2 linked regions of the Caenorhabditis elegans genome follow. The protein of the gene in region 1 interacts with the protein of each later gene in a pairwise test. Each region holds a gene or a part of one and is shown on either strand. Other genes may lie near its edges.

What was found. The genes of interacting proteins can lie anywhere in the genome.
Region 2: the proteins of cpl-1 (region 1) and rpn-2 interact in a two-hybrid assay, tested with the Caenorhabditis elegans proteins (one large-scale study listed by BioGRID).

The regions. Positions count from the first base shown.
Region 1 is NC_003283.11:16,592,059-16,597,275, forward strand, and holds cpl-1 (Cathepsin L-like), read right to left. Parts: upstream 3,289-5,217; 5' UTR 3,288-3,288; coding exon 3,030-3,287; intron 2,554-3,029; coding exon 2,455-2,553; intron 1,914-2,454; coding exon 1,466-1,913; intron 898-1,465; coding exon 689-897; 3' UTR 514-688; downstream 1-513. UniProt on the Caenorhabditis elegans protein: Cysteine protease which plays an essential role in the degradation of proteins in lysosomes.
Region 2 is NC_003281.10:6,197,284-6,203,122, forward strand, and holds rpn-2 (26S proteasome non-ATPase regulatory subunit 1), read left to right. Parts: upstream 1-1,896; 5' UTR 1,897-1,902; coding exon 1,903-1,957; intron 1,958-2,007; coding exon 2,008-2,535; intron 2,536-2,581; coding exon 2,582-2,712; intron 2,713-2,762; coding exon 2,763-3,983; intron 3,984-4,035; coding exon 4,036-4,185; intron 4,186-4,232; coding exon 4,233-4,759; coding exon of another isoform or gene 4,760-4,763; exon of another isoform or gene 4,764-4,857; coding exon 4,858-5,143; 3' UTR 5,144-5,311; downstream 5,312-5,839. Other genes in the region: C23G10.7 (putative tRNA (uracil-O(2)-)-methyltransferase), read right to left, coding at 1-62, 147-242, 293-455, 499-715, 764-992, 1,038-1,124; sna-3 (NADAR domain-containing protein), read right to left, coding at 5,477-5,671, 5,745-5,839. UniProt on the Caenorhabditis elegans protein: Acts as a regulatory subunit of the 26 proteasome which is involved in the ATP-dependent degradation of ubiquitinated proteins.

The DNA of each region.
Region 1 (5,217 bases):
TAAAACAAAATATTTGAGAGGCAGGGAAACTTATAGCTCGATGAATAACACGCATAGAATGAATTCGAGGGGAAAAAGTAAAGAGGTGGATAATTATTGAAAAATACGTGCAAATTGAACCCCTTGGGAAAGAACATCAGTCTACTTTCTGAGGTTAGAAACTGCGAAAAAAGAGCATAGGTCCCACCGAGATTTGAACTCGGGTCGCAGGATTCAGAGTCCTGAGTGCTAACCGCTACACCATGGAACCGCGGTGTACAGCGGCGGCAAATGTTTGTAATGAGAGAGGGTTAACAATCGACAACCGCTGCTTTGCAATGTTTATTTAATTTTTCGTGGGGGACTTTGATTGACTAGGCAAGCAGGCAGGGGCGTAGACACGCTAAAAAGGACGTCACAACTTGGTGTCTGAATTAAAAGCGAAAACGAAAACTATAATTCAAATTTGTTACGAGCTAATTATATGCTCTTACTATTTCCTCACTTGTTTTTAAGACAGAAAAATGCAAAACTAAATTCAAAAATCGTTTATGTACACCACAATTTGAAATACATAATTATAGATATTAGAGAAATTCCAAAAAAATACAGAAAACGAGGTAAAGCTTGACAGAAAAGAGTCAAAGAATTGCAATTCGGGGCTACAATTAAATTTTCCAAAAAAAAAAATTAATTATTAAGTTCAAATTTAGACCAATGGATAACTGGCCTTGGTGGCGACTCCGCAGTGATTGTTGCGGTTACGGGCGATACGGATGTATCCCTTCTCTCCCCATCCAGCTCCCCACGAGTTCTTGACAATCCAGTAGTCTCCGTGCTCTGGGTCGGTTCCGTATCCGACGAGAAGCACTCCGTGGTCGAGCTCTTCGGATGAGCATTCCTCATCGTAGTAGACTCCTGAAAATGGATGATATTCGGTGGAACTTAGGCTGAGTTTATGCTGTAGGCCTAGTTTTAGGCCTAGGCTTAGGCTTTGGTTTAGGCATTTGTTTAAGCTTAGGCTTATGAGCTAGGCTTGGGATTAGACTCAGGCTTAGTCTTGAGCTACGGCTTAGACTCAGGCTTAGGCTTAAGCTTAGGCTCAGGCTTAGGCTTAGGCTTTCGCTTAGGTTTAGGCTTAGTCTTAGGCGTAGGCTTAGGCTTAGGCGTAAGCTTAGGCTTAGGCTTAGGCTTAATCGTAAGCTTAAGCTTAGACTTTGGCCTAGGCTGATGGGGTTATACTTTGCTACTAAACAATTTATAAATTCCTTCACCACTTTCACATTCAAGTTCGAACCCAAACTATTATTGTCAAGAGGGTATCATTCAAAAACACGAGTTCTCTTATCACTATTGCCCTCTCTGTCTCTGATGAAAAACCCGAGTAACTAGCTTTCTTATCATTATCATCCAAAATGCAAATAAAACTGACCCGTCAATAAAAACTAGTACCCCCCCCCCCCTCACATCTTCCCACAAAACATACCCTTCTTGTAAAGTTGGAAGCTGCGGTGTCCGGCGTCGATAGCAATAGAGATTGGTCCTTGGGTGGCGACAGCGATCTTAAGTTGCTCCTCATCTCCTTCTGGGGTGTCAACGTATCCCTTATCATCAGCTCCGACGGTCTTCTTGTTGAAGTGACACTTCATGTCACGTCCCTTGTATGGGTATGACTCCTCGGTGTCGACACCATGGTTGTCACGAATGTACTCGAAAGCTTGATCCATGAGTCCTCCGTTGCATCCGTGGTTTCCGTACTTGGTAGAGCAGTCGACGAGGTTTTGCTCGGAAAGGGAGACGAGTTGTCCCAGCTTGCGAGCGTGTTGTCCTTCGAGGGCTCCGGTGGCGGAGAAGGCCCAGCACGATCCGCACATTCCTTGGTTCTTGACATCAGTGACGAGGTGGGTATCACGCCAGTCAACCTCATCTGGGACCTGAAAATTGAATAGGTTTAGGCTTGAGTTTAAGCTGAGGGTTTGGTTTAGCCGAAAGCTTGGGAAGCTCAAGCTTATGCTAAGGCTTAGGCATAGACCAAACTTCTTCCTGGACTGAGCCAAATCCATCAACTCACAATCAGTTTCAAGCCTAGGCTTAGGCTTAGGCTGAGGCTTAGGCTGAGGCTTAAGCTTAGGCGTACACTTAGACGTAGGCTTAGATTTAGGCTTAGACTGAAGCTCAGGCTTAGGCTTATCCCCTAGAAGTTCATCACAGCTCTAAGCTCTGGTGTTCAAATTTCAGCAAAAACAGTTCTAACCATTTGAATCTTGTTTTTAAACATTTCGGTGACCAAAACATTGCGAAATTCAATTTTCAAGCGTATCAATCATCAGAGATGATAATTCAAAAAATACGGTCAGCGAAGAATTATTTTTATCGGTCGTTGAAAACGTTTTTGTTTATGCAAATAGTTTTATAGTTTTGATCGACGAGAAAGTTAGTGTCTGGACCCCAACAAAACCCCTCTCAAAAAATTACCTGAACATTGAATGGAGCCAAGAAAGAGGAGGAGTTCTTGATTCTGGAGTCACCGAAGAGACGTCTGTAACCGTTGAGTTTGCGGTATTGGCTGAATGGCTGAAAAAAACAAGAGTTTGAAAATCAAATGACCTTCGTGTGTTTTGTCAGTGTGGTGGTGTGATAAGCCAGCTGTTGGTCAGTCACGAGACGAGGATTTCATATCTTTATCTTTTTTTTTCTCGCTGGGTGAGATTTTGATAGTGGAACGAGACAGAGAACAGCTTTTTGAAGTTTTTATAGGGGGTATTTATTTTCTTATCTGTCGAAATTAGGAAATGCAAAAAAGGAAAACTTGAAAATCCTCGCTTTAGGAACTTGGGACTCCGGAGCTCCAAACTTGAGATCCTTGGGCTCAAAAATTGTGATCCCGGAGCTCGTTACTTAAGAACCGGAGCTTGAATTTTGAAACCCCGCAGCTCAAAACTTGGGACCCTGGAGCTAGAGACTTCGGTCCTCGGAGCCAGAATTTGAGTCCCCGGAGCTCAAAACGTCGGACGCCGCAGCTCATGGTGCATTGAAATGCATATTCTTACCAAGTCAGCAATATGATTCAATCCCATCTCGAATGTCTTTCTTCCGAGTCGGTGATCTCTGTTGTGATTCTCAATATGGATCATATTCTTGACAAATGCCTCCATATAGGTCTGCTCCTCGCTCTCCGAGTACTCCTTATCAAAGTCCTCCTTATAGTCGTCCCATTTCTCGATGGCCGACTCGATTTGACGGGACAGCTTGGCCGAATTGACGGCGACGACGGCGGCAACCAGTGCCAGAAGAATGAATCGGTTCATTCTGGAATTTTATAACATTTAAAATTAATTTGAAAATTCTACAAAAAGCAGGGGAAACACGAAAAAATATGGAAATGGAATAGGAACTACAATGAACACCTCCCGAGGCGAGTTTATGAAGGATCCTAAAGTAGGCGGGGACAGCGTCAATCAGTGCCAGGACGAGTGTGAGGAGAGAGATGGAGAGGCGGAGAGAAACAGAGAGCGATCAAACCATCAGGTTATCAGTCAACTGATAATAGAGGGAAATTAGGGGTGAAAGTGCTTGCTCCGGTGCTAGGAGCTCAGAATAGTACAGAAATTGGATGATTATCATAATAGGGTTAAGTCAGATAAGCATGTGATCAGGGATAAGTGTTTCGAAAAACGGAAGTTTTCGAGCGGAAGTTTCCGAACTTCTTGAAGTATTGAACATACAGAAAATTAAGGTTTTTGTAGTTTGTAGTGCCCCCAAAGTTTAGAAAACTACCAGTTTTGCTAGAAATGTTTCCAAAACCGAGAAAATTGTTCGCCTTTTAAAAGTGTCAATTATTGGAGTTTAACCGCAAAATTCCAGCAATTTGTGTCAATTTCTACTGTTTTATTGACGTTAGGAACAGAAACTTCCATCAAATTTTGCTCTTTTTGAAGTATGAACTTTTTTTTCGGTTTTTTTTCCAGAAATTTTCAAAACTTTTCATTACGAAATTCGGTAGTTTTTAACGATTTTGGGCCCCAAAAAGCAATGTCTCAAAATTTTATAAGTGGTCCTTGACTGATGTCGGCTGCTTTTTTAGCAAAGGTCAAACTACAAAGTGAGTCAAGTTTTTTAAAATTAACTTTGAAAAAACAGGGGGAAAAAGGACAGAAAACAAACAAACAATTAGGTCACTTTAACAGGTGGCCAACAATGTAAATAAATTGTTTCGCATTCTAAAGGATTTCCAAACAAAAAACTTAGGAATGAAAAACGAGAAAATAAATGTCATCAGCAAGAAATTACATAATCATCCAGCTATTGATAAGATACCTGGTGAAGACGGTGAGATAATCTACGGGAATAAGGAATGATAATGGGAACCTGTTTTTTTTTTGGAGTGGGGAATGGCAGACTTGAGATGTTCTAAGCAATTTTTTGAAATCGACAATTGTTTAATCTTGGGGAAATAGGGAAAAAAAGAGATTTCGAAATTTGGAAATTTCAAAATCTCAAAAAATGCTGTAACTCGTATGAAGTTTTTTATAACTTTCAGCACGTGAATTTCGAAATTCAGTAATTTAAAAACTCAAAATTCAACTAACTAACAAGAAAAATGTAAGAAAAATTATAATTGGAAGTTCTCACTTTCAGACATTTTTCGATACAAAATTCAAAGTTTCAGCACCTAAAAAATCGTAAAAAAATGAATTTAATTTATTTTCAAATAAAAAAAAATTGAAACTTCAGATATTTTCCCATAAGAAATTCAGATTTTGAGACGTGTTCACATAAAAATTTAAATTTCAGACGGGAAAGGAAAATCGTTACGTATTTTTCAATAGAATTTCATAAGTTCATACAATTCTAAACATGGAAGAAATAAAAATGCCGCCAATTTCAATATGGAAATTCAGATTTTGAAGAATTTTTAATAAGTACCTTTGAAACTTCAGACATTCTTGCACAGGAATCTCTAAAATTTTTGTCATTTTTATATGAAAAGTTTGAAATTTCAGACGTTTTCAGAAAATAAATTTTAATTTTCAGAAATTTAGAACTGAATATTGAAGTTTTTTTCGGGAGAAAAGTGTAAAGTTTCAGTAAATTTTTAGATGCAAATAACTTTTTTTTAATTTGGACATATTTAAATAGAAATACTTAAACTTCCAGTTTTTATTTCGAAGGCAAAAATGAAATTTCTGGCCTCAAGAAAAATTATATCAGTAACATTCAGTACAGGTTTTCTAACCA
Region 2 (5,839 bases), on another chromosome or scaffold:
ACATCTTTCAGAGTGGTCTTCCAAATGTTTCGATGACGAACGTCAATTCCGTATCCAGACATCTAAACATTTATTTTTTTAAATCTAAAGTTAAATCAAATGAATTTTATAATTAAATCAATTTTCGATTAAAAAAAAAATCTTACTCCGATTTTGTTCAAAAGATGAACAAGAAGACCATTTCCGCATCCAATATCCACGAATTTATTCGGCTTTGGTAGGAGATCAGAATTGACAAGCTCCTAAAAATATTTTGAAAGATGGGAATTTTATTGAAATAGATAAATTTTACATTTATATATGAAGCAATCCCACAATCCTCGAAAATTGATTTTTGTGGATTAGAGTTTTCTGTCCATCCTTTGATCATTCCTCTGCCATAATCCTCTCGAATATGACGATATGTCTTGATGTAGGACTCTTTGTCGAGTAGAGAATTTGTCTTTCGAGATGATCTGCAATAAACGTTTAGACTTTGTTAAATCATAGCGTTCTCACTTTGAAAGATCAATTCCTTTCAACCAAGTGTACAATTGTTTGAATGCTTGTTTCTTCATAAATTCAAAATGTTCTTGAGAGGAATTAGCTTGCTTCAAAAACTGAAGTTGAATGGATGTATCTGTTGGGATTTTAATGGCAATTGAATACGGGCTCTCGAAATGTGGGTGTTGCATTCCATCGAGAGTAATTGGGTAGAATCGTACAAGGAGTTCTTCTGAAAACAAAAACATCATTTCAAAAGAAGACTAACTTCGAAACAAACCTTCATAGTAAGAAACTTCAAACGCATTATCTGAGAATTTATTATTAGCGAGATCCTTGTGTATGATTTTCGTAATAGCTATTTCGCTGCAATCTCTCGGGCAAAATTTGTAATGTGTTTCAAATGTTCTTAAAACTTCATTCCATAAATCTGAATCTGTATCCACTGAAACTGAAGTTGTAATTCTGTTACTGATAGCGTTTGGATATTCCTTCCAAAGACTGATAATCTGAATTTTTCTTTCAATTACAATATTCCAAATTACAATAACTACCTTATCAAAAAACGCTTTTGGATCAATAACCTCTTCGTATTCGGCGATTTGTTCTACAATAACTGTCCATGTTGAACCAGGAAACATAAAACGCCTAAAAACGTAAAATTTTAATTGAATATATTGGTAAACTAGTTTTTCAAAGGAAAAAGAAAATTATTCAATAAACTTTTATTGATTAGTTCGGCCGAAAATATCCAACACGCAGAAAGGTAAGCTTTTCGAAGATATAGAAAGTTCTAGAAAATTCGGAAATGTTCCTCTGAAAACTACAAAAACTAAGTCAGACTGAAACCAATGTCATAACTATGTGCAATGAGCCTTTAATACAGTAACCACCGCATAGCTTTGAGACGATCAGTGAAAAATTAAGCATTAGAGCGGTCAAACTAGACACCAATACACTTTTATCTGATTTTAAAAATTAAAATATGCTATTTTTATCGGAATTGCTGGGAAAAATATTGTCTAAAAATAAGAAAACAACTTTGAAGAAAATGCGCCAACACCCATGTGCTGGCGCAATTATCGATTAGTTGACGCACATCGCGGAGGATGACAATTCTGACCACAGCGGGAAACCGCGAAATTGTCAGCTTTTATCTGAAAATGTATGTGTTTTTGGACGAAATTTGTCATTCGCAATCATTCTTTTCGTTCGGTTCATCCATTGTTGGTGTTTGAGTAATTTTATGATTTTCTAAAACGCCTGATTTATTTTTAGACGTTTTCTAATTTGTCTTTTAAGACGAGAAAGCTGTTTTTCTGATAACCTAGAAAAACATTTTATAATAAACTATGCTTCGCAACTATCTTCTCCTAGCTGCTCTCATTTCGGATTGTTTTTAATTTTGATTTCTTTCAGATGTTGACATTGTTGAACAGATGGAGATCTCAGCCAGGAGGCGCTTCAAACGCAGGTATCAAAACTAATATCTATCAAGAAACGTTGTGAATTGTTCATTTTCAGCCGCATTCATTCGTGTTCTCGAGTCACCGAAATCAGCAGTGACCGACAAAGTGCTCGTTCTCAAAGCATTTAACGATTGGGATGTTCTTGTGAACACATGGTTTGAGGTCGCTGACGCCCTTCCAGCTGTAGAGCAGCTCCTTGACAACAACACGTTCCCAGAGCATTCATCCGCTGCACTGCTCGTCTCCAAAGTTTATTTCTGCTTGGAGCAGTATGAACGTGCTTTGGAGTTTGCTCTTCGTGGTGATTTCAACGTCGTTCCTGCTACAAGAACCGGTCTTGGAAACGACGCAGAATATGTTAACAAGATCATCGAGACGGCCATTGACACGTACAAGACGCTGAGCAAGCAAGGATCTGGAATTCCTCAGAAACTCCGAGATTTGATCGACCGAATTGTTGCTAGAAATCTGGATAAACGAGAGATATGGTTTGTCATCTCGTTAGGATTTGAGACGACCAATCTGGCTATGATCGACAGGGCCATTAGCGCGATGCCTGCAGATTTGACCATCAAGAATCAGAGTAAGTCAATAATAACTAAGCTGAAACGTCATTCTTTTTTGTGCAGCTACACTTGTCGAAACGCTCAACCGTGTTGTCAATGGCGCGTTCGATCGTTCATTCCGATTCCAAGTTATCGATACAGTCATCAAGACGTACTTGAAGTGCCCATCGCCGGACATGTCCAAGATTTGCGAGGTATGATTTATACAAATATCGAAGTAAAATTACAAAATAAACATTTTCAGTGTTACGTGCTCACGGATAACGCCGAGGCCGCTGCTGACACGATTACGAGTTTGATCGCGAAGTCTCTCAGCACTCGTGCATATCAGATCGCATTTGATTTATATGAAACAGCGAGTCAAGGATTCCTCGATCGAGTTTTGAAACGTTTCCAACAGCAGGATGCTCGTGATGAGAAGTCGATGGAAAAGATTCATTCAATTCTCAAAGGTCATGAAACTGTCAAGGCTTACCTCGACTTCTTTGTCCGTCATAATCACACTGATTCTGTTCTAATGGAAGAGATCAAGGAGAACATTCGAACAGCCTCTGCCCACAATGCTCTTCTCATCTCAAATGGTCTTATGCAATATGGAACTACTTGTGACGATTTCCTCCGTAACAACTTGAACTGGGTTTCCAAAGCTACGAACTGGAACAAGTTCAATGCGGTCGCTTCACTTGGACTCATTCATCACGGACAAGAATCGTCTGCAATGAAGGTACTTGAGCCATATTTGCCAAAGGAATCTGTCGAAGGATTTGGATTTAAAGAGGGAGGAGCAATGCTGGCATATGGATTGATTCACGCCAAACACGGAGATGCAACTGCCATGAGCACTCTGGCTCAGTGGCTCAAAACCGCCGAAAACGAGCCAGTGAGACACGGAGCTTGTCTTGGATTTGGAGTTGCTGGACTTGGATCGTCTTCTGTTTCGAATTACGAGAAAGTTCGGGAAGTTCTCCAACGTGATGAAGCAGTTTCCGGAGAATCCGCAGGAATCGCCATGGGCCTTATCATGGCTGGACATCTGAATCAAGAGGTGTTCAATGAGCTCAAGCAATACACTGTTGACACACAGCATGACAAAACTCAACGTGGTATCCGAACTGGACTTGCCTGTGCCGCATTCGGACTCCAAGGAGATGCTGAGCCTTACATCAAAGAAGCAATCGGAGCTAAGAGCAATCCAATGCTCCGTTCCACTGGAATCTGTATGCTGTCGATGGCTTACGCCGGAACCGGATCTCCAGATGTAGTACGCCGTCTTCTCGAGAAAGTAGCCACCGATCCAAATTTGGATGTCAAGAGATACGCTACAATTGGTATCGGATTCGTTCTCTCCAAGGATCCATCAACCTGCTTATCCTACGTGGCCATGCTCACCGAACATTTCAATGGACATGTCAGATACGGAGCAGCTATGGCACTGGGAATTGCTTGTGCTGGAACAGGAAACATGGTAAGATACTTTTTTCTGAAACCGGGGTTTGATATAATGAATTGTTTTTCAGGAAGCTATTGCTCTGATTGAGCCAATGATTTCTGATAAGGAAGGTTTCGTTCGTAAAGGAGCACTTCTTTCACTTGCTCTCATCATGTGCCAGCAGACAGACTACACTTGTCCCAAGGTGAACGGTTTCCGTAAGCAATTGCTCAAAAAGGTAACTCTATAAGAAAACAATCAAGTTTTTCAATAAATGTTTGTCAGATCGGAGAGAAGAACGAGGACTCTCTTGTCAAATTTGGAGCAATTATTGCTCAAGGACTTCTCGACATCGGAGGGCAGAACGCTGCGGTCACAATGCAAAATTCTGACAAGCAGCCAGATATGGGATCAATGGTCGGAATGATGTGCTTCCTTCACGGATGGTTCTGGCACTCGATGCATTTCTTCATCGCCCTTGCTGCTAAGCCATCATGCCTTGTGATGATGAACGAGAATCTGAAGATTCCAGTACTTGACTACATCTGCCATGCCAATAGTCAGAAGTTTGCCTATCCACCACGAGCCGAATCAAAGAAGGATAAGGATGTCAAAAAGATTGAGACTGTTGTTCTGTCCATCACCGGAAAGAAGAATGCGTCAAAGAAGCTGATCGCTGAGGAGAAAAAAAGACGAGAAGCTGCAGCTTCCGCTTCTAGTGCTGCTGCTGCCCCATCATCATCGTCCACTTCAGGAACAGCACCAGCTGCTGAAGATGAGAAAATGGAGGTTGATCAACCAGGAAAATCCAAGTAAGTTTGGAATGAGTGTCTAGGAAAAGTAGAATTCGTTTTTTTTGTCATAAAAATTAAAAAACCAAGATTTCCAAATTAACTTACAATTATTTCAGGAAAGAAAAGGCTCCAGAAAAGGACACGAAGCCATTGCACCGCCTACAGAATCCAGCTCGTGTGATTCCTGCTCAACGACAGCTAATCTCGATCAGTGACGCTCGAGCCTACAGTCCCATGAAGCCACTTTACAAGGGTGGAATTATTGTGGCGGATCGTGTTGATAAGGAGAGAGAGGAGAAGCTTGTCAGTGAAGTCGTCACTCAGGTCAATACTCCTGCGAGCTCTGGAAATACCGAAAACAAACCCCATTCGACGTTCGAGATCAATATCAACGATTTTTGATCAATTGCTGGATCATTCGATCAACTCTATCTCGCTCCCCCAATCCCATTCAAAACTTTTTTAATTTATTTTCCCCCTTCTACTCTATTTATGTTTGACTTCGAATCAACATGAACCCGCTGATTTTTGTATTTGTGTGTATACCTGAAAATGAAGAACATTTCACTTACATGAATTGAAGTCAAGCGATAATGACAAAAAATTTATTTTTGTTAAACAAGAGATCCTTTCTGGCCTCAAAATCTTGCTGTGTTATTCAAATGAAACAGCAACAAAAATGAATGAATAAATTCTGAAAATTTTAATAACGAAAACGTGAAGTAAAAAATTAATTTAATTATCCTCCTCGTCAGTTGATAGAATCTCGCCGTCTGATAACTCCTCTTCGGGATCTCGCTTTGGCTTCGGAGGAACAACGACCGCTGGTGTTGACGTGGATATGGCTGGCTTTTTAGCAGGCGATGGAGCTGCTTTCCGCGATGGAGGAGACTGGTTTACACGTTTTTTGGTGGGAGTGTCGAGGTGTTTCTGTAAATTTTGATTTTGAAAACATGTAATCGGGAAATTTTAAGCTAAAACAATATAAATAATAAAAACCAACATCTCTTCCTCTATCAGAAGACGACTTCTCTGGCAAACGATCCCTATCTTTTCCAAATTTCCTTCTAGATGTCGTTGGTATTTTATACTCCATAC